Astyanax mexicanus: one gene and its partners. The protein of the gene in region 2 binds, or shares a complex with, the protein of the main gene of each other region. Links are inferred from orthologs where the notes say so. Each region holds a gene or a part of one and is shown on either strand. Other genes may lie near its edges.

Region 1 (7,496 bases), on a different chromosome or scaffold from region 2:
AAGTTTTAGGTGAAGGAGACCTAAAGAAGGTCAGAGCATGTTTCTGGAAAAACAAAAAAGTGGGCGTGGCATTGCGATGGTTACCATCCATCAAGATGTTGGGTCATACATGACACTAGGCACAACCCTAGTGCTGATAACCAATCGGAGGCAATGCATTCATGAGCAAGAGCCGAAATCCTGTCCTTCTTCAGAGACCACTAATTCAGTGATCTAAAGCAGGGTTATACAGAAACACCAGAGACCACAACTAGACATTTTAAAATGAATGTAAAAACAATTGAATGAGACCTTTAAGGTGAATTCTTTTAAAAGTAAGTACTTTTACTGTTGTGGAGCGTTAAACCGAGGACTTATACATCTATTACTGGAGTAATGTTTTACCCTCTCTACATCTACTTCAACTCAAATACAGGGTTTGTGTACTTTTGTGTCTACTACTGCAGTAAACTGTAGGAATACCTGCAGGTCTCTCTGGACTCCTCGATCTCCTTTTGCTCCTCTTTGCTGTTGAGAACGGCGCCGATACTGTCGGCACTTTCTGCTCCGAGCTGCAAAACAACACAAACATCTTCCCTCAGCTCTCAGTGTAAAGCATAAGTGATGTAAAAATACAAAAACATCAGACTACTACTTTTTTTTGATTGATGATTTATGTGATTATTAATGGGTTTGACTGGTTAATTCAAAAGTGCCCAATCAGACTACTATTACATTAAACTGCATAGATATGTGTTAAAATAACAGCTATAGATAACGGCTAGATTAATATTAGGAGAAATTCAATTAATTACAAGCTCTGAATACTGTAAGTTATTAATATGAGAGGAAATAAAATAAAAAAACGAATAAAAACGAATCAGTTAAAAACATTTAAAAGTTAAAAACATTTAAAAGCATATTTTAAAAGCAAATCACTCCTTTAAAAATATTTTTTTCATTATAAATCCATAATATTTAAGTTAAAATACACATTTAGGTTGTGTCCCTGGGTTTCACTCAGTCCTGTTAGCTTAACAAATTACCCCATCAAAATCACTAGAATGTGCTTAGTGTCCTCATGCTATTAGCACAGCATAATTCTATGCTAAAAACTCAGTCCTGTCACTTTAATTCCCGTTACTCAAAACATAAAAAGTAACAGGAGTGAGTGGCATTAACAGGAATGAGTTCCAGTAACAGGAATCAGTGCCATTAACTTGTTAATGATTTTTGGTCATAAATATCACTTATTTGAACATACAGTCGAACATTTCTTTAAAATAAAGACTTTCTTGAAAGAAACACAAAGTTGCATTTGAACATGCTTTTTAAATGTCACACGAGTTTTGTAAACATCTTCGGCTTAGAAACCTTGTAAAAAAGTAGTAAGGTAAAGCTGCCTGCACTTGACAATTACATGTTTTGAATAGTTAAATACATGTGATATTAAAAAAATTAAAAAGTTTAATTTGGAAAAGTTACAACAATCAATAGCACCCGTTCTGTGGAATGGCCCAATTAGTACAGTGCTTATATCTCTTTTCTGAAAGAGAATTTATTAGTAAAAACTGTAGGTTATTATATGGATCTGTAAGGGTGCTGTGTCTGTACTGTGACTAATCTAAGCCTGTATCTCTGACTGTGTTTTTCTCTGTTTTCTCTCTATCTCTGAGTGTTTTTTTCTCTCTGTTTATGACTTAGTTTTCCTCTCTGTTTGAGTGTCTCTCTCTCTCTGAATCTCTCTGTACCTCTGAGTGTTTTTTTCTCTCTCTCTCTGTATCTGACTGTTTTTCTCTCTGTGTTTCTGACTGTTATTCTCTCTCTCTCACTGTAAATTTCTCTAAGTGTTCTCTCTCTGCAAATCTCTCGCTATCTCTGAGTGTTTTTTTTTTCTCTCTGTTTATGACTGTTTTCCTCTCTGTGTTTCTGAGTCTCTCTCTGTGAATCTCTCTGTACCTCTGAGTGTGTTTTTCTCTCTCTCTGTATCTGTATGTATTTCTGTGTGTTTCTGACTGTTTCTCTCTCTCTGTTTCTGAGTGTGTTTTCTCTCTCTCTTTCTGTATCTCTGACTGTGTTTTTCTCTATCTCACTGTAAGTTTCTCTATCTCTGAGTGTTTTTTCTCTCTCTGTTTGTGAGTTTCTCTCTAAATATTTCTGTACCTCTGAGTGTGTTTATTTTCTCTCTCTCTGTACCTAACAGTATTTCTCTGTGTGTGTTTCTGACTGTGCTTCTCTCTCTCTCTGTTTCTGAGTGTTTCTCTCTCTCTTTCTCTCTGTATCTCTTACTGTGTTTTTCTCTCTGTGTTTCTGACTGTATTTCTCTCTCTCTCTCTCACTGTAAGTTTCTCTATCTCTAAGTGTTTTTCTCTCTCTCTCTATCTCTCTCTGTATCTGTTTTTCTCTCTCTGTGTTTCTAAGTGTGTTTTTCTCTCAGTGTGTTTTAGTGTTTTTCTGTGTGTTTATCTCTGCCTGTTTCTGACTGTTTTTCTCTCTATTTAAGCGTGATTTCTGTGTTTCTCTCTCTCTGTAAATTTATCTGAATTAGTTTTCTCTCTCTCTCTGTATCTGTTTTCCTCTCTGTGAGTTTAAGCATGTTTTTCCTGTGTGTGTTTCTGTCTCTCTCACTCAGTTTCTTGAGTGTGTTTTTCTGTGTTTCCCTTTCTATCTCTCCCTCTCTCTCTGTTTCTCTCTTTCTGAATGTGTTTTCTCTGTTTCTGAATGTGTTTTTCTCTGTTTCTGAATGTGTTTTCTCTCTCTCTCTGTGTGTGGTTTCTCTGTTTCTGAGAGTGTTTTACTCTCTCTCTCTTTGTTTTTTTTTTTACCTGCTGGGCTAACAGCTGTCTCCTGAGCTTCTGCCGCTCCCGGATCTCCTGCAGTCTGCTGTTCATCTCTGATCTGAATCAGAGTCTGACCACTTTACTCAGAATTATAATAAATACACGGGTTTTTAAAGCGATGCAGAGAGAAACCCGCGCGCACACAGACACATTCAAACACAGCCCGGCCGGCGCAGGAGATACGCGTCACACAGTGTCACCGCGCGAGAGACAGAGCGCGAGACAGAGCGAGAGAGCGGGAAGACCGACCAATCCTGAGCTCTAAACCACCGCGTGCCGCTAGAGGGAGCCCGCGAGGGAGACCTGAGTGAATGGAGGTGAATAGAGGTAAACCATTAAAAACACACATTAAAAACAATTATTAACTAAAGTCTGTGTAACGTTTATTCATTTATTTTTTTATTATTTCATAATTTTCTTTTAGGTTAAATGCAACATTTGAAAATTGCATGTAAAAACTTGATTATTATTATTATTTTTTTATTTTAAAGTGGACATGAAACATTTCAGTTCGTACAAGTTTTCCAAGGGATTAAATATAATGGAATTTATTTGGGAGGGGATTTTTTTATCTAAAATGTTTACACACTAAATTGTAACATATATATGTTTGTTACGTTTGCGCTAGTGCGCCACCATTTTGCCCGTGCAGCACTGGTTACATCACGAGGTTGGTTGGTTGATGAGCCCAGGTACATAGCTAGCGGTCACGGTTTAGGAAAAGAGCTGGTAGCTCACCTGGAAGGAGTGGAGATGGAAGGAAGAAGGGAGTGAGTTGGAAATGTTTGGGATAAAGAGCGGGTCGTGGGATGGTGGAGGAGCGTGGCAAACTGCTGGAATTAAGAAAGGTAGGAGATTATCTGATCATGAGAGAGAGTCAGGAGCTTCCTACGCATGTCAAGTGTAGGAAGGAGGAGCATGTAGCACAGTATACAGTTCTTCTTAAGTTTGGAACTGAATCTGGGACTCCATTAAATCCAATAAGATTAAAGAGTGAGCTTAGGAAAGCTGTGGGTGATCTGGCTGCAGCAAAGATCTTGAGAGATGGCAGACAAATCAAGTCTCCCTGAAGCTGCGGGAATCTCCCGCATTTCGGTAGTGGCTCCCTGATGCCCGCGAGTCACGGAATTCAGAACGAGTGCCCCAAACGCGCACACAGGTGACTTTTTTTCTCTAATCGCGTGTGGGAAGGAGAGAGAGAAAACAGAGAGGGTTCTGATTGGCCTGTTCTCTGCAAAGAGTCTGTTCGGTGGTAGGGTAACCTGCCTGAAATCAACTTTTGCAACTTGGGATGTCTGAGATGGTAAGGTATTGATTACCTGTAAAGATGCACGACAGCGTGATAAAGCATTAAAACTTACAAGCCTGGGTGGAAAATCGCTATCTGCAAGCTTGTTCAGAGAGGCAGTAAGGCTGAAGGGAGTGATAACTGGGGTCCCCCTTGATATTACAATGGATCAAATCAAGAAGTCGCTAGTGTGCTAGAGGCTGTACGACTGAAAGTGTTCAGGGATGGGACAGCCTAAAGCTAATTGGAAGAATTTTTCTGTGATTTGTGATGATAGGCTCAAACAGCAGGTTAATTCTGATGATGTTGATGAGTATATTAACAAGTTGTGTATGATTTTGTAAAGATCTGCGGAAGAGTCAGTTCCTTTAAAAAGCAGCCCACAGGGAGGAAAGCTGTTCCTTGGTGGACAGAACAGTGCTCTAAGGCAGTGAAGCTCCGCAATGCAGCTCTAAGACAGGTTCAGAGGTCGCTGTTATTTTGCGATCTGGTGACTTATAGAAAGGCTCAAGCAGAGGTAAGGAGAACTGTTAAAGGGGCGAAATGGTCCTATTGGAGAACGTTCTGTAGCACCATTGGATATGATGTTTCAGTATGTGATTTATGGCACATCATTAAGAAAATAAGGGGAATAAGAAGAGAGAATAATATGCCGGTATTGCAAAGCTGCGTTACTGAGGCAGTGACCGATGCTGATAAGGCAGAGATGTTAGCGCAGGAGTTTGCAAAGATCCATAGCTCGGCTAATTTAAGTGACACTATGCAACAGTTCCGGGAAAGTGTTCGTTCTCAATATCCTGGAGTTCTGTCTCGGAAAGAGGATTTTAGTGGTGTACTGGACACGGAGTTCACGCTACAGGAACTGAAGGTAGCAATTGCGAAATCTGGTCACACATAACCTGGGAAAGATTATGTGTGCTATGATATGTTTAAGCATTTATCAGATGCATCTCTTTTTGTAATTATAGAGTTTTATAATACATTGTAAGGCAGCATGGAAGTTGGCGGTGGTAGTACCTATAGGTAAGCCTGGTAAAGACTTATCTAGTCTAGCAGGATATAGGCCTATTTCACTCACGTCTCATGTAAGTAAGTGCATGGAGCGTATGTTAACAGACAGACTGACTTATTATCTTGAGGCACGAAATGGTTTTGTAAACTATCAGAGTGGCTTTAGACAAGGTAGGATGACAATGGGCCCAGTGTTGTGTCTGGAATCTGAGCTAAGAAAAGCGCAATTGTATAAAGAAGTAGTGATGGTTGTATTTTTAGATATAGAAAAGGCGTATGATATGTTATGGACTGAGGGCTTGCTTATTAAACTGGATAAGGTGGGGGTTGGAGGGAGGCTATATAACTGGATTTTGGAATTTTTCAGTAAAAGGATGTTGCAAGTGAGGGTGGGGCAAGCACAATCAGGAGTTTACTGCATAGAAAATGGGACTCCACAGGGTAGTGTATCTAGCCCTCTATTTTTTAATGTGATGATTAATGATATTTTCTTTTCGGTTGGCTCAGGTGTAGCCAAGTCACCTTATGCAGACAATGGGGCCTTGTGAAAAAGGGGTAGTAATCTCCTGTTTGTTTTAAAGAAGATGTTGAAGAAGATGCAAGAGGCATTGACCAAAGTAGAGCATTGGGCTAATAGCTGGGGCTTCCGATCATTGGCATCAAAATCGCAGGCTATCTGCTTTTCAAATCGTCGGACGCCAACTACCCTTGGTCTGAAGTTGTATGGTTTGGAAATAGAACAAGTCAAGGTGGTCAAGTTCTTAGGTATGTGGATGGATTCCAAGCTAACATGGAATATTCATATTAACAAGATACTAGATAAGTGTAAAAGGGCCCTTAATGTTATGAAGTGCTTGTCAGGATGTGACTGGGGGGCTAACCGACCTTCACTCCTTTATATCTATAGAGCATTGGTGCGGTCAGTTTTTGACTATGGTTGCATAGCATATAGATCTGCTGCCAAGACTAATCTGGCAATTTTGGACCGAGTTCAAGCTCAGGCGCTGCGTTTGTGTTGTGGAGCGGTGAAGTCTTCTGGGGAATTACCCTTACAGTTGCGTAGATTGGCATTATCCACAGTATATTGGACCTCTGTTACAGGCCATGAGGAAAATCAACCTGTGGTACCCATTACGCATGATTGTTTACATCAACATCATTGTACTCCTAGAAGTTTTGGCTGTGTGTGTGCTAGAGAGGCAGCAGAACTGGGTGTCTGGGGTACGGATCTGTGTGCTACAGTGCCTAGAGCAGTGATATCACCATGGATGTTTCCTGAACCTAATGATGACATAACGCTACATGAGCGTATGCGTGCTGTAGATCAGTGGTTCCCAACCTTTTTCTTCAGGGACACATATTTTTACCATTGTAAGCTTTGGTGACCCAACATACCCCCCCCCCCCCCCAAATGTAAAAGATGTAAGTGTATAATTGGGTTGGGGTGGGGGGGTGGGGGGGGGGGTTAGAAATGACAAATAAAAACTGACATTTACTATAGATGAATAAAATAAACACGTAAAAAAGGAAAAATTGATACATAAAACATAAGGAATTTTTATCTTATGAAGAAAAAAAATAATTAGATCAATAAAATAATACAACTCTTTAAAATGAATAAAAAATAATTTATATAAAATAAAAACAAACAACAAAAAAAAGAATAATATCAGTTTCAGTTTCAGTTTCAAATCAGTAAAACAGCTCACCAAAACCTCAACCTGTCCAAATATTGGACAATAATTGATTAACTTTACAGGCCCTCACTCATTTTCATTTATTTAACTAAACTGAGTTTTATATTCTTATATTATTATATTATTATATTCAGCCTCGCGCTGAATTCAGCTCCGCGCTGGGGCTGAGAGCGCCCGCGCGCGCCAGAGAGAGAGAGACAGAGAGAGCGCAGCGCGGCGAATTTTGCTTACCCTAGACTATATATAGTATTAAAATTAAACCCCTTAAAATCAAGAGGGCTTCGCGACCCATCGTGGATCTTTGGCGACCCATAGGTTGGGTCGCGACCCATAGGTTGGGAACCACTGCTGTAGATGACCAGTAGAGCACCTCTGGTATAGTTGGGAGGCACTTAAACCAGTCATACTATGGTATGCTACAAGTTTATACAGAAGGCTCTGAACATCCTTCTTCAGGGATGACATCAGCAGCCGTTTTTTTCCCTGAATTACACATTTTCAGTGGCAAAAGGCTAACCAATGATATATCTGTATTTATAACTGAACTAGTGGCTATCCTTCTGGCTTTGCATTGGGCCAAGGAGACATGTCCTTTGGGTTTGTTGGTATGTTCTGACTCTTTGGCTGCCTTGCAAAGCGTTCAAACTGGACAATCCACATGTAGGCCAGACTTAATTCTTG
Region 2 (7,919 bases):
CAGTAATGCTACATCAGCAGCAGTTCAAATCACATGTATTGGAGGAGGCATGTGCTAGCCTTTACCCTCCTGGTGTTGGGGCATTGTTAGCAATAGCAGGAGTGCAGCTGAGTGGGTGGGATATTCTGCATAGCTAAAATTTGGGAGAAAAATGAGGCAGAAACACAAATGCACAAGTATAAATGCTCACAATAGCATGAGCCACTTGTGTAGGCTATATTGTAGACTCTAAATTGACCTGATTTAGTAGTATAAACCTTCCTGTGCTGTCTCTCTGCTCTGAAGATGGCGTAGTGATGATGGTATTGAGAAACAAACCAGTTACCAAAAAGTAGAGTCGGTAAAATACTACGCAGTGGAAAACACCAATAAGATCCAACTAAAGCAAAAGCTCTATCTGGACGGGATTAGTTTCTCAGGGGGGCGTCTGTAAAAATATTTCACACTTTTATTCAGTGATAAAACTCCTGCATCCGGACTGCAATTGAAAAAACAAACAGGAGGACCAGTGAGTTGTCGCTGTTGTGTTTTTAACGCGGTTCTGCGTGGAAACCGTGGGGCGTTCAAAGTGTAATTACGGTGCCCTACAGTGGACAAATAGCTATTTCATTAAACACGAAGAGACGAAACTCAGATGTGTGTCCGGACGGGACTAAAATTACCGGAGGGGCACGGAGTTCAGAGAAAAACAGTAGATAATTCAGCCTGTAATTTTTTATCTTAGAACACGTACATGATCGTTCTGGATGGGAATAAAATCACAGAGGATAAAACCCCCCCATAAAAGACATAGAATATTAACTAATCCCATCCGGATAATGCTAAAAACTCGAAAAACCAAAAGATCTAAAGAAAAAGGTGGATTGGTGACCCATGCCTAAAAAGTAAAAAAAATAAAGAAATAAAAATGTTCAGACCTGTGTATGTTTCAGCTTTGGGCCGAAGCCTCGCTTTACATCCAGCCTCACTTTAAACTTTATTTTCCCTTTTATTTTTAGTGCACTTAACTTTGATACAGCATTCATACCAGTGTAGTGAATGTTTATACAGAGATATGGTGTATAGATTTGGGGTGATATTACAAAACACTGTAGTTTCTTTATTTTTGATAAAGGGACAGGGCTTTTTTATTTTATATGATTTGATTTATTATTATATTAAAACAGACCGAAGTTGAGGAGGATGATTAAGGTGATCCATCTACTAAACGTGGTTCAATTCAAATGGACTTCACTGTAAAACATGTTTATTACAGTTGTACTATACTTTTTCATTAAAAAAAGAAAATGAACCCAATTCTTGTTTCTTGTGTAACGGCAGATATTAGTGGTGTGCTCCTGTTTTTATCTGCTCTGGTTTTGATCCTGAATGTTTGGATTCTTTCTGAAATAAGGTGTTTGAACCGGTTTAAAGTGGTGTAAACTTAATATGTACTAATAGGCTAAAGAAGTGTAGCATTAGCTTTTGATTTTTACAGTTTGAGATGCAACAAATATTGATAATTATATAGAAACCTTGAAGTTATTATATAAAATGACAAGCTTAAGCTTTAATATTTGCAAGGTTTAAATGCCCTGACTACTTCCACACATACCTTAATCTGAAAGAAGCCTGGAGACTGATCCCCTGTGTAACGTGCTCTCTATCCACTGTAGTTCCCACTTCCAGGATTTTGGTGATCACCAACAATACCCTTTGAAAGGAAGATATTGAAAGAATATAGTTATTTTAGTGTATTAGAAGTCATTTTGTTTTATTGTACAAGTATAGAACATATTAGGGCTGCACAATATTGGTATTGCACTCTCTAGAATAAGAAAATATAAAAATTGAGTACTAAAAAATAAGTTATTTAGAAATTCACTGAAACTACAAAAGGGGCAAAGAAAATCAAATGTAAAATAAGATTAAAAAGGTTTTAGCTATGAAGTATTGAAATAAGTAAATAAAAAATGAATCAATTATTAAAACAACATTAATTGAAATCTGTAATATAATATAATCTGTAATATACGATGGTGCCAATCCATAAGCATAATTAATAATATTGTGCAGATCTGACAATATTTGACATTTCCTCTCCTGCAAGGTGACTATTATGCTTGTGCACATTGCAATACTGATGCTAAAACACTATATTGTGCAGCCCTAACTCTCATCACATTAATATATTCCTCTAAATGAATCAAATGACAAGAATCACCATCTAGGCCACTACGTAGGCTCACTATTTAGGCTATGAGTGTGGGATGCCAAATATCATAAATTTACCTTTAAAACTGGCACTTTAACAGTGTACTCAAATAATTAAGTCAGAAGTCATTTTTGGGGACATGGCCAAATGCTGATATTTGTTTTTAAATTTTTCATAAATGTGTGTCAATAATTTTCATATTTAATAAGATTAACAATATTAACTAACCATATGTCCTATAATACATCAGATCCTGAAAATCGACATCTAGGCCCTGTACTTAGGCACACTATTAAGGCTACGAGTGTGCGATTTGGGATGCGTACTTTTGATGTCTATATTTACAGTTGTGGTCAAAAGTTTACATACACTTGTAAAAAAACATAATGTTATGGCTGTCTTGAGTTTTCAATAAGTTCTACAACTCTTATTTTTCTGTGATAGAGTGATCGGAACACATACATGTTTGTCACAAAAAACAGTCATAAAATTTGGTTCTTTCATAAATTTATTATGGGTCTGCTGAAAATGTCACCAAATCTGCTGGGTCAAAAATATACATACAGCAACAAAATTTGTCAATTTTGGTGATGTAGCGAGTTGTGTCAATCAAATTAGCTTCATGTCATGGCCTCTTCACTTCTTGTAAGTGATTCTGATTGACTACAGCTGTTGACTTCTCATGAGCCCATTTAAATAGGGCTCATTTGACCCAGTGATTAGACTCAGCTACAAAAGCTACAATGGGAAAGTCAAAGGAACTCAGTGTGGATCTGAAAAAGCGAATTATTGACTTGAACAAGTCAGGGAAGTCACTTGGAGCCATTTCAAAGCAGCTACAGGTCCCAAGAGCAACTGTGCAGACAATTATACGCAAGTATAAAGTGCATGGAACAGTTGTGTCACTGCCACGATCAGGAAGAAAACGCAAGCTATCACATGCTGCCGAGAGGAGATTGGTCAGGATGGTCAAGAGTCAACCAAGAATCACCAAGAAGCAGGTCTGCAAGGATTTGGAAGCTGATGGAACACAGGTGTCAGTCTCCACAGTCAAGCGTGTTTTACATCGCCATGGACTGAGAGGCTGCCGTGCAAGAAAGAAGCCCTTGCTCCAGAAAAGGCACCTTAAGACTCGGCTGAAGTTTGCTGCTGATCACATGGACAAAGATAAAACCTTCTGGAGGAAAGTTCTCTGGTCAGACGAAACAAAAATTGAGCTGTTTGGCCACAACACCCAGCAATATGTTTGGAGGAGAAAAGGTGAGGCCTTTAATCCCAGGAACACCATGCCTACTGTCAAGCATGGTGGTGGTAGTATTACGCTCTGGGGATGTTTTGCTGCCAGTGGAACTGGTTCTTTGCAGAAAGTAAATGGGATAATGAAGAAGGAGGATTACCTCCAAATTCTGCAGGAAAACTTAAAACCATCAGCCCGAAGGTTGGGTCTTGGGCGCAGTTGGGTGTTCCAACAAGACAATGACCCAAAACACACATCAAAAGTGGTAAAGGAATGGCTAAACCAGGCTAGAATTAAGGTTTTAGAATGGCCTTCCCAAAGTCCTGACTTAAACCCCATTGAGAACATGTGGACAGTGCTAAAGAAACGGGTTCATGCAAGAAAACCATCACATTTAGCTGAACTGCACCAATTCTGTCAAGAAGAGTGGTCAAACATTCGACCTGAAGCTTGCCAGGAGCTTGTGGATGGCTACCAAAAGCGCCTAGTTGCCGTGAAAATGGCCAAGGGACATGTAACCAAATAGTAATGTTGCTGTATGTATATTTTTGACCCAGCAGATTTGGTGACATTTTCAGCAGACCCATAATAAATTTATGAAAGAACCAAATTTTATGACTGTTTTTTGTGACAAACATGTATGTGTTCCGATCACTCTATCACAGAAAAATAAGAGTTGTAGAACTTATTGAAAACTCAAGACAGCCATAACATTATGTTTTTTTACAAGTGTATGTAAACTTTTGACCACAACTGTATTTCATTTAAATTAGTATATTTTAAAGTTTACTTAAATAAATTGACGTGATACTGGTCAGGAATCAAAAGCTTTAAATGTTTTTATTTTATTCATGTATTTGTTTGCGTACTTCATCATTAATAATACATACATTTAAACTACTAACCAATTTAACCCCGTGCTTTGGTTTGTTTTTTGTTTTTTTGCACAACATACAATCCATACTTAGGTAACAAACAACCATAATTACAAAAATATAAAAAAAACGTACAATGTAAAATAAATAAATAAATAAAAACAAAACAAAAAAAAAACATTAAAAAAAGAAAAGGGATTCATATAACATTGAAAAACTTCAAAATATATATGGATTTATGGCATTTTTATTTGTCGAAAACTAGTCAATAAGTGTATATATTATATAAAGTCTGAATAAACATGTTTATAGATATGTATTTATATAGAATATTTGCACAATTCAAAAGAGGTCATATGATATGGGACATTTTTCAGAAAATACAAGCTTTAAATATTTATGTTATAAATTAATCTATTTGCAAGTTTCCTAATTAATAATAAATGTAAACTACCAAATGAACCATGTGCTTCATAATGCGTTAAACCCTGAGAATCGCCATCTAGGCCACTGCTTAGGCACACTATTAAGGCTATGAGGATGCGATTTGGGACGTATCCCAGTGACGTCCGAGTCACGTGCGTCTGTGCTCCTCCTACCAACGGCGGCGCGCGCGCACGCTCCCATTGTCCAAGATGGCGGCGCGGGTGCAGCTTCTGTGATGCTGGTGTTTTCGGCGCGTTTGTTTGATGTTTTCCCGCTGAAGCTCCGTCCCCGTATCTCTCTCCGCGTCCGGCGGAACGCGCGTGACGCCCATCGCTCGCGCGGCGTGAGCGCGCGGTGTGGACCGGAGCTGTTTGGTGTCGCCCCGGTTTTTTTTCCTCCGCCGCCAAAAGTTTGCAGGGAGGAGGATGAAGCGGCAGGCCGAGCGGGACACGAGCCCGGCGCGAGCTGCCGCCAAACGGATCCGGGAGCGCGAGAGAGAGCGCGAACGGGAGCGAGACCGCGAGCGCGAGGGCAGACGAGGAGAGGATGCCATCATCGCCTCCGCGGTCGCCGCGCCTCCCGGTGCCCTCCTACCGTCGCCGCCGCTCGCGCTGCTGCTCGCGGACACTCGGAGCGGTTGCTATGGAAAACGTGAGGCGCGCGGAGGAGAGAGCAGCGCGCACCATCGGCTGCACCACGACGCCGGTGCCCTTTCCGCGCGCTCGGGCTTGAGACCAGGTGGGAAAGGTAAAGGGTCTGCAGGCGCCGAGATGCTCGGTGGCCGGGTGGCTGGGGGCGGGGCTGGCAGTGGTGGCAGCAGTAGTGGCAGTGGCGGTGGCAGCAGTAGCAGCAGCAGCAGTGGCCTCGAGTACAAAACCCTGCTGGTCAGCAACCTAGGCTCCCACCTGTCAGATGAGCACATAGAGGATGAGCTCTTCCACAAGTTCAAGAAGTTCGGAGATGTCAGTGTAAAGCTCTCCCACACACCTGAGCTTGGACGGGTAGCCTATGTGAACTTCAGGCAAGTAGAGAGCGCACGGGAAGCACGCCACGCCAGGACCCGCCTGGTGCTGGGGGACCGGGCACTTCGGGTCGAGCCTGTGTACGTCCGCCGCCGCAGCTGCACGCCTCCTGATGTGGCCTACGCTCCCTTGCTACACCCTGCCTACCTCTATAGGCAGCGCTCGCTCTCGCCAGGGCCAGGTGGCAGTGCCATCCGCGATACCCGGGCCAGGCACTATGCTGAGGGTGTCGTTGGGCTCGCCAGGGAGAGGGAGCGCCTCCTGGACTACTACAGCGCTTTGGAGGAGAGGAGCCGGGCACTGGCGTTGCAGCTGCAGGTGGAGGAGGACCTGAAACCAGAGGACGATCAGAGAGCGACTCGGAACTTGTTCATCGGCAACCTGGATCACAACGTGTCTGAAGCAGAGCTCAGGCAGGGCTTTGAGAAGTACGGCGTCATCGAGGAGGTGGTGATAAAGCGGCCAGCGCGTGGGCAAGGGTGTGCATATGCTTTTATTAAATTCCAGAACCTGGACATGGCTCACAGGGCCAAGGTAGCCATGCAGGGACGAGTGTTCGGGGGCAACCAGGTGAAAATTGGATACGGCAAGGCCAATCCCACCACACGCCTTTGGGTGGGCGGCTTAGGCCCGAATGTGTCTCTGGCCGCCTTGGCTAGAGAGTTTGATCGCTTTGGGAGCATCCGTACCATTGACTATGTAAAGGGGGACAATTTTGCCTACATCCACTATGAAAGCCTGGATGCAGCCCAAGCAGCATGTGCCCAGATGCGTGGATTCCCACTGGGTGGCCCAAACCGCAGGCTACGAGTGGACTTTGCCAAAGCTGAGGAAGTACGAGCATACCCGCAGCAGTACCAGCTGCCTCTTCCTTTGCCGCCACCTTTTGAGCCACTTAGCGAAGGTTACAGCCGCCACCGCAGCTTGGAGAGAGAACTTAGGGCTCGTGCTCGTTCACCCTCCCACCCACTTTTCGCAGAGAGGGAACGAGAGCGTGAACGTGAATGGAGTCCTCCTAAAAGCGTGGAACGCAGAACTAACACAGAAGCTTTTGGGCGGGGACGAGCCCGCAGTCGCAGCAGGGAGCGATGGACCAAGGACAGAGACTCTGATCGCAAAGGTTTGGACGAACGACGTAAGCGTCGGAGCCGAAGTCGCAGCATCAGTCCAAGTGACAGGCTGTATGAGGACAGGGGGCGCACCAGGGTGAGAGCAGGTGCCCCTGCAACCCCAGACGACAGTCCAGACCGGGCACGTGGCCGCCTTCCTGACTCCACCTCAGAGCCCCAAAGCCACACACCTGACAGCAGCCGCCAGTCCGGAGACGAGCGAGCTCAGTTGCTGTTGCAGGAGGATTCAAACAAGCATCGTAAAGGAGGAGAACATGAGCGGAACCACCGCAAAAGTGATGCAGACTTAGATCAGCAGGTGAAAAAGTTCAAGAGCGAGCCCAAAAAGCCCAGCACGCTCTCAGAATACGCCCAGACCATCAGCAGAGTGTGGCACGGCTCCCTGGTGCTGAAAAACAGCAGCTTCCCCACCAACATGCACATCCTGGAAGGAGGGGCCAGCTTCTTCCTTTCCCTCATGAAAGACAACCAAGCGGGCAGTGCCAAGATCACACAGCTCAAGATAGCCCAGCGACTCCGACTGGACCAGCCCAAGCTGGATGAGGTGACCCGCCGCATCAAGCTGGGCAGCCCCGACGGCTACACCGTCCTCCTGGCCGTCCAGGGCCCCATGGACCAGGACTCGCCTCCTCTGGAACCTGGAATCCAGAAACGCCTTCTGCGCAACCTGGTCACCTACCTCAGAAACAAGCAGGCAGCTGGCGTGATCAGTCTGCCAATCGGAGGACCCAAGGAACGTGAAACGGGGGGCATGCTGTACGCCTTCCCCCCCTGTGAGTTCTCCCAACAGTACCTTCAGACTGCTCTTAAAACTTTGGGCAAAATAGAGGAGGATCACTTGGTCATTGTGGTCGTTAAAGATTCACTTTAATAGTCCTTTTATAGTGCAGTGCTGTTTAAAACACACACACACAGGTCCAAACTTAAAAGAATACCACTGTCTTCTCAAAAATCTGTAAATTTCAGTGTTTCCCAGTTCTGGTCCTGCTGGTATTTGATCTGATTTTTCTATATTTGACAAACTTTCCTGACTTT
Region 3 (7,134 bases), on a different chromosome or scaffold from region 2:
TGCTGTTCTCCTTATCAAAGCCCAGCCACCCCCATCCTGACCCCTGAACTGCCACAGTAGCAGCAGACATCCTCTCCTTAAACTTCTGGAATGAGCCAAAGTCACGCTTAATGGCCTCCATAAGCTCACCTGGGTAAAATAATGTGTAATATTCATATAAGACATACTATTAAAACCTTTTAGTGTACGACAGCTTGTGAAGATGACATAAATTAATGGTTTGCAACAAACATGATGCGAATGCTGAAAATTAAGAGAAAAATAAAATGTACTGCATCTCTCACCCTGTGGCTCTCCTCCTCCATTTGGGGACAGGTTTGTCCAAAAAATGGTGTGGTTGATGTGACCACCACCATTAAACCGCAGAGCTGACTGAAGTGCCACTTGTGTTGTCACATCACCTACAAAACCCCACCGTTCATAAAAAGAGCAAACCAAAAAAAAAAAGAAGAAACAAAGTACTTTAATTAGGAATGACCAAATTTGTATGTACTTTAATTCATAAAGCTTCTCATAGTATAAGCTTATCACGTTTTTGATCCTTGAGCAATGCTTCTACTTCAAGAGGCTTTGTGAATATGAGCCCAGGTCTTACACAATACAGTAAATACTTCATCCATTTGCTGGTGGCTGAAGCCTGAACACTTTATTGTAACTGGATAAACTTTGATTCACCTTTGGCCAGGGCCTCTTGGTATTTCTCTTCAGTAACGTTGAGATTGTTGACGTATGTTGCATGGTGCTTGCTGTGGTGAAGTTGCATGATCTCAGCACAGACGTGGGGCTCAAGTGCCCCATAATCATAAGGGAGGTCTGGAAGTGTGTGCTTTAGTCTTGAGGCCAAGGCACCCAACAAAGGGTTTAAGGTGGCTGTGCACCTAAAAACAGAAGGAGACAGAGGTGAAATGTGTTAGACAAACTCAAGTACAATGAACTTTGTAGCTAAAACTGTCTGGACTCAACTAACCTAGCTAAAAAAATAGGAGCTGCTTATTGAACTTACCTGTTTAAATTTTGGATTTTGTAACCTAGTTATCAGTAACTTATTCATAAACTTGTGTGAACTCTCATGGGATAACGCTCACTTTTGCTAGTTATTCATTTAAGGTCTAAGTTAGTTAGGTTAGCTAGTTAGCTAATTTGGCTTAGCTAAACATTTTGACGTTGAGCTTTAATTACATAAGCTGCTAAAATAGCTATCCCTGCTACCACTGCCAGAAACGGCTAACAAACATATGAGGAGACTAAGCTAGCCTAGCTAGCTGTTAGGGGACAAGCTAAGTGCTAAAAGTGGTAGTGAAATTATGTGTTTTATAATTATAACTGCAGATAAATAGAGCTGTAAAATGAACAGAGTGCTGCTGTGCTGTAACTTAGCAGTTAGCTGTCTGTCTGACTGCAGGTCATGTGTTACCGCTAACGCTGTCAGCTCACTCTACTCTATAAAGCGCTGTTTGCTAGGCTAACAGCTCACACAGCTTCTGTGTTTAAAAACGCCGAGAATCCTCAACATTTCCACAGACTCCAGTCTAAATCTGTGTCGTTACCTGCGAACATGTCCAACTCTGCCAAACATGTTCTTATTCTCTCTACAGCGGTGTCTCTGACAGTGAGCTCTGAGCAGCTGCGACTCCCCCTCTCACTCACTCCATTCTAACCTGCCCTTGAAATTTCAACTTGAACTCCAGTAGGACTGAACCATTACTCCGTCTGTAGGTAACACATATGTTTAAATGTTTCTCTCTACACATACCACGTCAATTAAAATGTTAAAAATAGTAACATAACGATTTAAAACCGTAAAGTAAACACAATATGTGTCGATCTGTTCATAAAGGTATATAAACGCTTTAATATAAGAGCTGAGAAATCTGTCCCACCCCTAAAAATGATTAGATTAATCCGCACCTCTTCGCTGCCTGGCCTTGTTGTGTTGCATGCTTAGTTTTTTCCAGTGCTGGTAGAGATACCTGCTGTATCACTACATGAAGTGTGTGTGTGTGTGTGTGTGTGTGTGTGTGTGTGTGTGTGTGTGTGTGTGTGTTTGTGGGTGTGTATAATGATTTCAGTCGTTCATGCTTTTATAAGCCCTTTTAAAGTTTTAAGTTTTAAAACAGTGTATTAAAATCAGCTAATATTAGCTAATTGAGCTGTGAAAAAAAACAATTGTATTTAAGGTGTACATACATGTCACAAAAATGAGTACACCCTTCACCTTTTTGTAAATATTTTATTTTAATAGGACAACACTGAACATATGACACAACGTAAAGTGGTCATTAATCTCTACACCGCTGGCAACTAAAGTAAGTACACTTTTGAAAATTGTGCCTAATTACCCCTTCTTTCTCCCCAGTGTCATGTGACTTGTTAGTTTTACAAGGTCTCAGGTGTAAATGGGGAGCAAGCTAAATTTAATGTTTTGAGTACAATTCTCTCATATTGGCACTTCATGGCAAGAAAACCCTCTGAGGATGTAAAAAAAATATAATTGTTGCTCTCCGCAGAGATGGCTTAGGCTATAAGAAGTTTGGTGACACCCTAAAACTGAGGGCCATTGTCATACAGCAGTTTTTAGGACAGGTTCTGTTCAGAGCTGCCTCCCCAGGGTTGACCAAAGAAGTTGAGTCCACATGTTCAGCGTAACATCCACAGGCTTGCTTTAACCATAGATGCATGAGTAGTGCCAGCATTGCTGCAGAGCTTGAATAAGTAAGAGTAAGAGTTCTCCTCCCTTCCGAAACTGGGCCGCATGGCAGTTTTCCATCATGATAACGACCCCAAACATATCTCCAAGATGAGAAATGCTTTGCTGAGGAACCTGAGGATAAAGGTGATGGCCTGGACAAGTATGTCTTTAGACCTACACCCAATTGAGGAAGGTGGAGGAGCGCAAGGTCTCTAACAGCCACTAGCTCCATGATGCTGTCATGATGGAGTGGAAGAGGATTGGCAACCTGTAAAGCTCTAGTGAACTCCATGCCCAAGAGGGTTAAGGCAGTGCTGGAAAATAATGGTGGCCACACAAAATATTTACCCTTTGGGCACAATCTGGACATTTTCACAGTGGTGTACTTGGTTTTGTTGCCAGATATTTTGAGGAAATAGCAAAATATATATATATATAAGCTGTACACTGATTACTTTACATTGAATCAAAGTGTCATATCTTTAGTGTTCTTCCATGAAAAGATTAAATATTTACAAATATATGAGGAGTGCACTCACTTGTGTAAGATACTGGATAAGCCACACACTACACAGTTATCAATACAAAAAAAATAATAGTTATTTAATAATTTCCTTTAACAGAAGCTATGTCTTTATTTTTTGGGTTTATTGTATAAACAACAAAGAATCATAAATAAATATGAGGTTGTTGCAGAATACTCTAAAGTTTGGAGCTGATGACATGGCTTTAACAGTTGTTTATACTGTATAAACTATTCCCATTAGGGCATCAATTTCATAACCTGATTTATTTTACTTCAGGTTAGTATCATGGTGTATTAACAAGACCATCATATTTTTTCTAGCAATAAATGTGGGAAGGAAATAACATTAAAGAGATATCCTGCCAAAAGGGAGTGCAGGTACAAAATAGGTGAGCGACAGTTTCCAAAGCTGTGGAAACTGTGGCAAAAAGAACATTTTCATGAAACGTACATTTTAAAATTTTTGAGCAGGACATAACATGGATAAAATAAATGTCTTTACCTTTGTTAGAAAGCAGCTATTTACTAATTGCCAGAGAGAAAGGAGAATTCCTTTTTCAATTCGTAATTTGCAACAGGGAGGCAGCTACATGCTTCATTAGCTGGAGTTACAGCTCCTGATACGGTCAGTGTAACAGTCCTAAAACTGTAACAGTTATACCCCTTATAACAAGATATCGCTAATATGAGGATTATGACTTCAGTGAGCTTCTATAAGGTATATTATTTTAAGAATAAAAAAAAATACATTACATATCATATACTTTCCGTGAAATATATCTATTCCTGAATTCAGCGTGAATATTACACCTTCATCATTTATTAATCCAGTCTCTCCTGAGCGGGGTCTTGTTTTGAACAGTCGCTGAACTGGTTAACAGGCTGCAACACACATCATGTAAGCCGCCCCGCCCCTTCAGCCTCTGCGGCGGAACATCCATCGTCCTCGCGGTGATGGCGGCTACGCGGAGCTCGCGTTAAGCTCAGGCTCGGGTCGTTTTAAGATTGAAATACGCTATTAGAGGGACGGGTTGCTCGTTAGTAGCGCGCTAGAAGCAGATTGGGTCATCTTGGTCTGAGTAAAGCAGGGCTTGTAAGTATCTCGGGTGTCTTTTTCTGGCTCGTTTCTGGTAAACAAGTTCTGAGAGCTGCGCTGTTGGTCGGAGGGAGAGTCTCTTCCTTTTCCGCCATTTTGTGACAAGAAACTGATAACACACGGAGCCGGCAGGTACTAGTCTAAACGCCGCGCTGGTCTCGGGATTCTGCTCGGGTGTAGTTCAGTGGTTCGTGGGGAATTCCGTCTAAATAGTTCGGGGACTGGAGGTGTGTGTCTGACCCGCCGTTCTGCTCCGCTGGGCTCCGCTGATTTTAACGCGGTTAACGCAGCAGCGCCAGCCCTGCTAGCTCGGTATTAGCTGTTCACGCTGGCTAACGGGCTAACTAGCTTAACTACATTACCGAGAATAAACAGCCAACAGGCCTCGGTTAGGGGTTTAAGGACACGGATTTCTGGCGGACAGTAATGAGAGGTTTTTACTGAGACACTCTAGGTTAGTTACGAACTCGTATGGTCCACAAATGCTAACCAACGCAGTCCAACAAACGTGCGAGGGGCTGTAGTGTATAACATGTTCAGGCTAGGCTAGGCTAGATTACGTAGAGGAGCAGAACGAAACGCTAGCTAACTAGCCAGCTCTTAAAACAGTCTCCGTTTATACATGTCCCTGCTAATGACGTTACAGGCTTTTACCGCTCTGTGCGCAGAGCGCAACTATCTAAACTGTGGTCCATTTTGCTTGTACCCAAAGCACGGCGAGGCTGAGTCAGTGTAACGTTAACGTTTGAGTTCCATATTCTGACCGTTATAGAGGATAAATTCAACAATACACTACGATTGTTGTGTGAAACTTCATTAACTTACTTAGCTATTATTATTTTCTCAGTTTGTTGTAATGAAGAAGAAATGTTTGTCTTTATTTCTTCTATTTTTTAAAATATTTTTTCACTCCAACAACTCATTTCTGCAGCACAAAATAAGAATTTCAGGAAAATTATTTTCTAGATTTTCAGATTTGTCCTTTTTTGTGTATTGTAACAAAAGTTGAATTATATGGTAAGAATTCTAAAATCAAAACAATATAAAGTCATTTTTAAAATGGATTTTTCCTGAAATTCTGTTTGCAAAACACAGAATTGACTAACAGAAAATTGGTAAAATAAAAAAACACTTCTTTCTCATTATAGCTACTAAATGGGAAAATTTTAAAAATGAATACAGTTTTATATTTTCGAGTTTAGCCCCAAATTTAAATGATATTAGTTACACTGACTGTCTGGTGTTGATTTATTTTTGTTCAGAGTTTCTGTTTCTCTGTTTAAATGGTGCTGTAGGTATAACTTGGCTATTATATTGCTTGTGTGCTTTAGTCCATCTAGCCAGCCTAACCTTTGCACCAATTACAGTGGAAGTGAAATAGGTTATAAAATGAACCTCCTACAAAAACGTCTTCTAGTAAAGTGTGTGATCTCGCACTTTATTTCTAATGTGGCCATTTTATGGTATTGGAGCAACCAGAGCTGTATGTTGTGAATCTGTTGTTTTTCTTCTGAAGTAAAACAGTACGTCTTATATTTGTTTATTTTTGTCATTTTGCAGAGATCAAGATGACTAATGAAGAACCTCTTCCCAAGAAGGTGAGCGCATTGGCACAGTGATCTTAACTGGCTGTGAAATATGATGAGGAAATCTCTGCTATGTCAGTTTATTAATGCTTCTATTTCTGGTATTTCAGGTTCGCCTTAATGAATCAGACATGAAGACCCTGACCAGAGAGGAGCTGTGTACACGGTAAGGATAAGTTTTCTTTTTAATAAATATTTTAATTACGGTTCTTTTCTTTAAATAATGCAAAAACATTTTACTTTCCATCTTAGGTGGAAACAGCATGAAGCCTATGTCCAGGTGCTGGAGGCAAAATATGCTGATTTAAATTGTAAGTCTCCGCACATGCACTCTGATTTATTTTCTTGATTTATTGCATTGTTTGTGCGAGCATTTGAATGGTATGCTTTATCCACAGCCAATGATGTGACTGGTTTGAAAGAGTCTGAGGAGAAGCTAAAGCAGCAACAACAGGAGTCTGCACGCAGAGAGAACATTCTGGTGATGAGGCTGGCCACTAAGGAGCAGGAGATGCAGGAATGTACAGTAAGTATTTTTCTTCAGATTTAGATCACCTGACATCTGTCCTACTCTCCTTTAGTCCACATTTAGGATATATATGTTGCATGGAAGTAGTAGTTAATTTATACAGAAGCAAAGATATTTTTGCTATCTCGAATGCATGAATAAAAACTCTTGTTGAGATTTGTATTACTATTCTATGAATGTAGCAGTTATTTTCTTTTTTTCTAATTTGGGCATTGGTGTGTCAGACATAAGTTTTAAATGCCATCACAAAATAAAGCACCTGTGGCCTGTACCTCAGAAAAATTAGTCAGTTTATATAGAGTCAGTCATTAATATATCATTATGCCAATGTAAGCAATTGGAAAACATTAATTACATTATTCAATGAAAAAAGTAAATGAGGATGAGAAGTAAGCTTTCCTATCAGAAGGGCATTTTAAAATGAACATTTACTTTGTTTGTGTACAAGTATGTAAGTATGCTAAGTTATGGGTTGCAGGACTAGTGCTGGCTTTCAGGCTCAGTTGTTGTAGTATAAAATATAAATGTAAATATACATTTTGATCGTACACAATGTTTATCTCATTATTTTGACACACAAATTAGCCATATCACAGTAGAGTTTGATAAGTGCCATGCTGGTAAAACTTTATATGTAGTACAGTGATTTTTATTCTGTATTTTCTGCACTTCATTCATTGAAATAGGACTAAATACACTCTTTGAATA

What was found.
Region 1: rbm15b (region 2) and mettl14 share a complex: the UniProt entries of both Homo sapiens proteins name them as parts of the WMM complex. The link is inferred for Astyanax mexicanus from reciprocal best matches to the Homo sapiens genes RBM15B and METTL14.
Region 3: rbm15b (region 2) and pre-mRNA-splicing regulator WTAP share a complex: the UniProt entries of both Homo sapiens proteins name them as parts of the WMM complex. The link is inferred for Astyanax mexicanus from reciprocal best matches to the Homo sapiens genes RBM15B and WTAP.

The regions. Positions count from the first base shown.
Region 1 is NC_064432.1:11,010,776-11,018,271, forward strand, and holds the start of mettl14 (N6-adenosine-methyltransferase non-catalytic subunit), read right to left. Parts: upstream 3,014-7,496; 5' UTR 2,871-3,013; coding exon 2,805-2,870; intron 552-2,804; coding exon 463-551; intron 1-462. Other genes in the region: NLR family CARD domain-containing protein 3-like, read left to right, coding at 4,757-4,975, 6,220-6,339. UniProt on the Homo sapiens protein: The METTL3-METTL14 heterodimer forms a N6-methyltransferase complex that methylates adenosine residues at the N(6) position of some mRNAs and regulates the circadian clock, differentiation of embryonic stem cells and cortical neurogenesis.
Region 2 is NC_064431.1:1,414,835-1,422,753, forward strand, and holds the start of rbm15b (putative RNA-binding protein 15B), read left to right. Parts: upstream 1-4,910; 5' UTR 4,911-5,157; coding exon 5,158-7,755; 3' UTR 7,756-7,919. UniProt on the Homo sapiens protein: RNA-binding protein that acts as a key regulator of N6-methyladenosine (m6A) methylation of RNAs, thereby regulating different processes, such as alternative splicing of mRNAs and X chromosome inactivation mediated by Xist RNA.
Region 3 is NC_064408.1:74,743,917-74,751,050, forward strand, and holds the start of pre-mRNA-splicing regulator WTAP, read left to right. Parts: upstream 1-4,122; 5' UTR 4,123-4,308; intron 4,309-4,387; exon of another isoform or gene 4,388-4,443; intron 4,444-4,519; exon of another isoform or gene 4,520-4,538; intron 4,539-5,871; 5' UTR 5,872-5,879; coding exon 5,880-5,909; intron 5,910-6,007; coding exon 6,008-6,063; intron 6,064-6,149; coding exon 6,150-6,208; intron 6,209-6,295; coding exon 6,296-6,423; intron 6,424-7,134. Other genes in the region: sod2 (superoxide dismutase [Mn], mitochondrial), read right to left, coding at 1-129, 285-401, 676-878, 1,548-1,576. UniProt on the Homo sapiens protein: Associated component of the WMM complex, a complex that mediates N6-methyladenosine (m6A) methylation of RNAs, a modification that plays a role in the efficiency of mRNA splicing and RNA processing.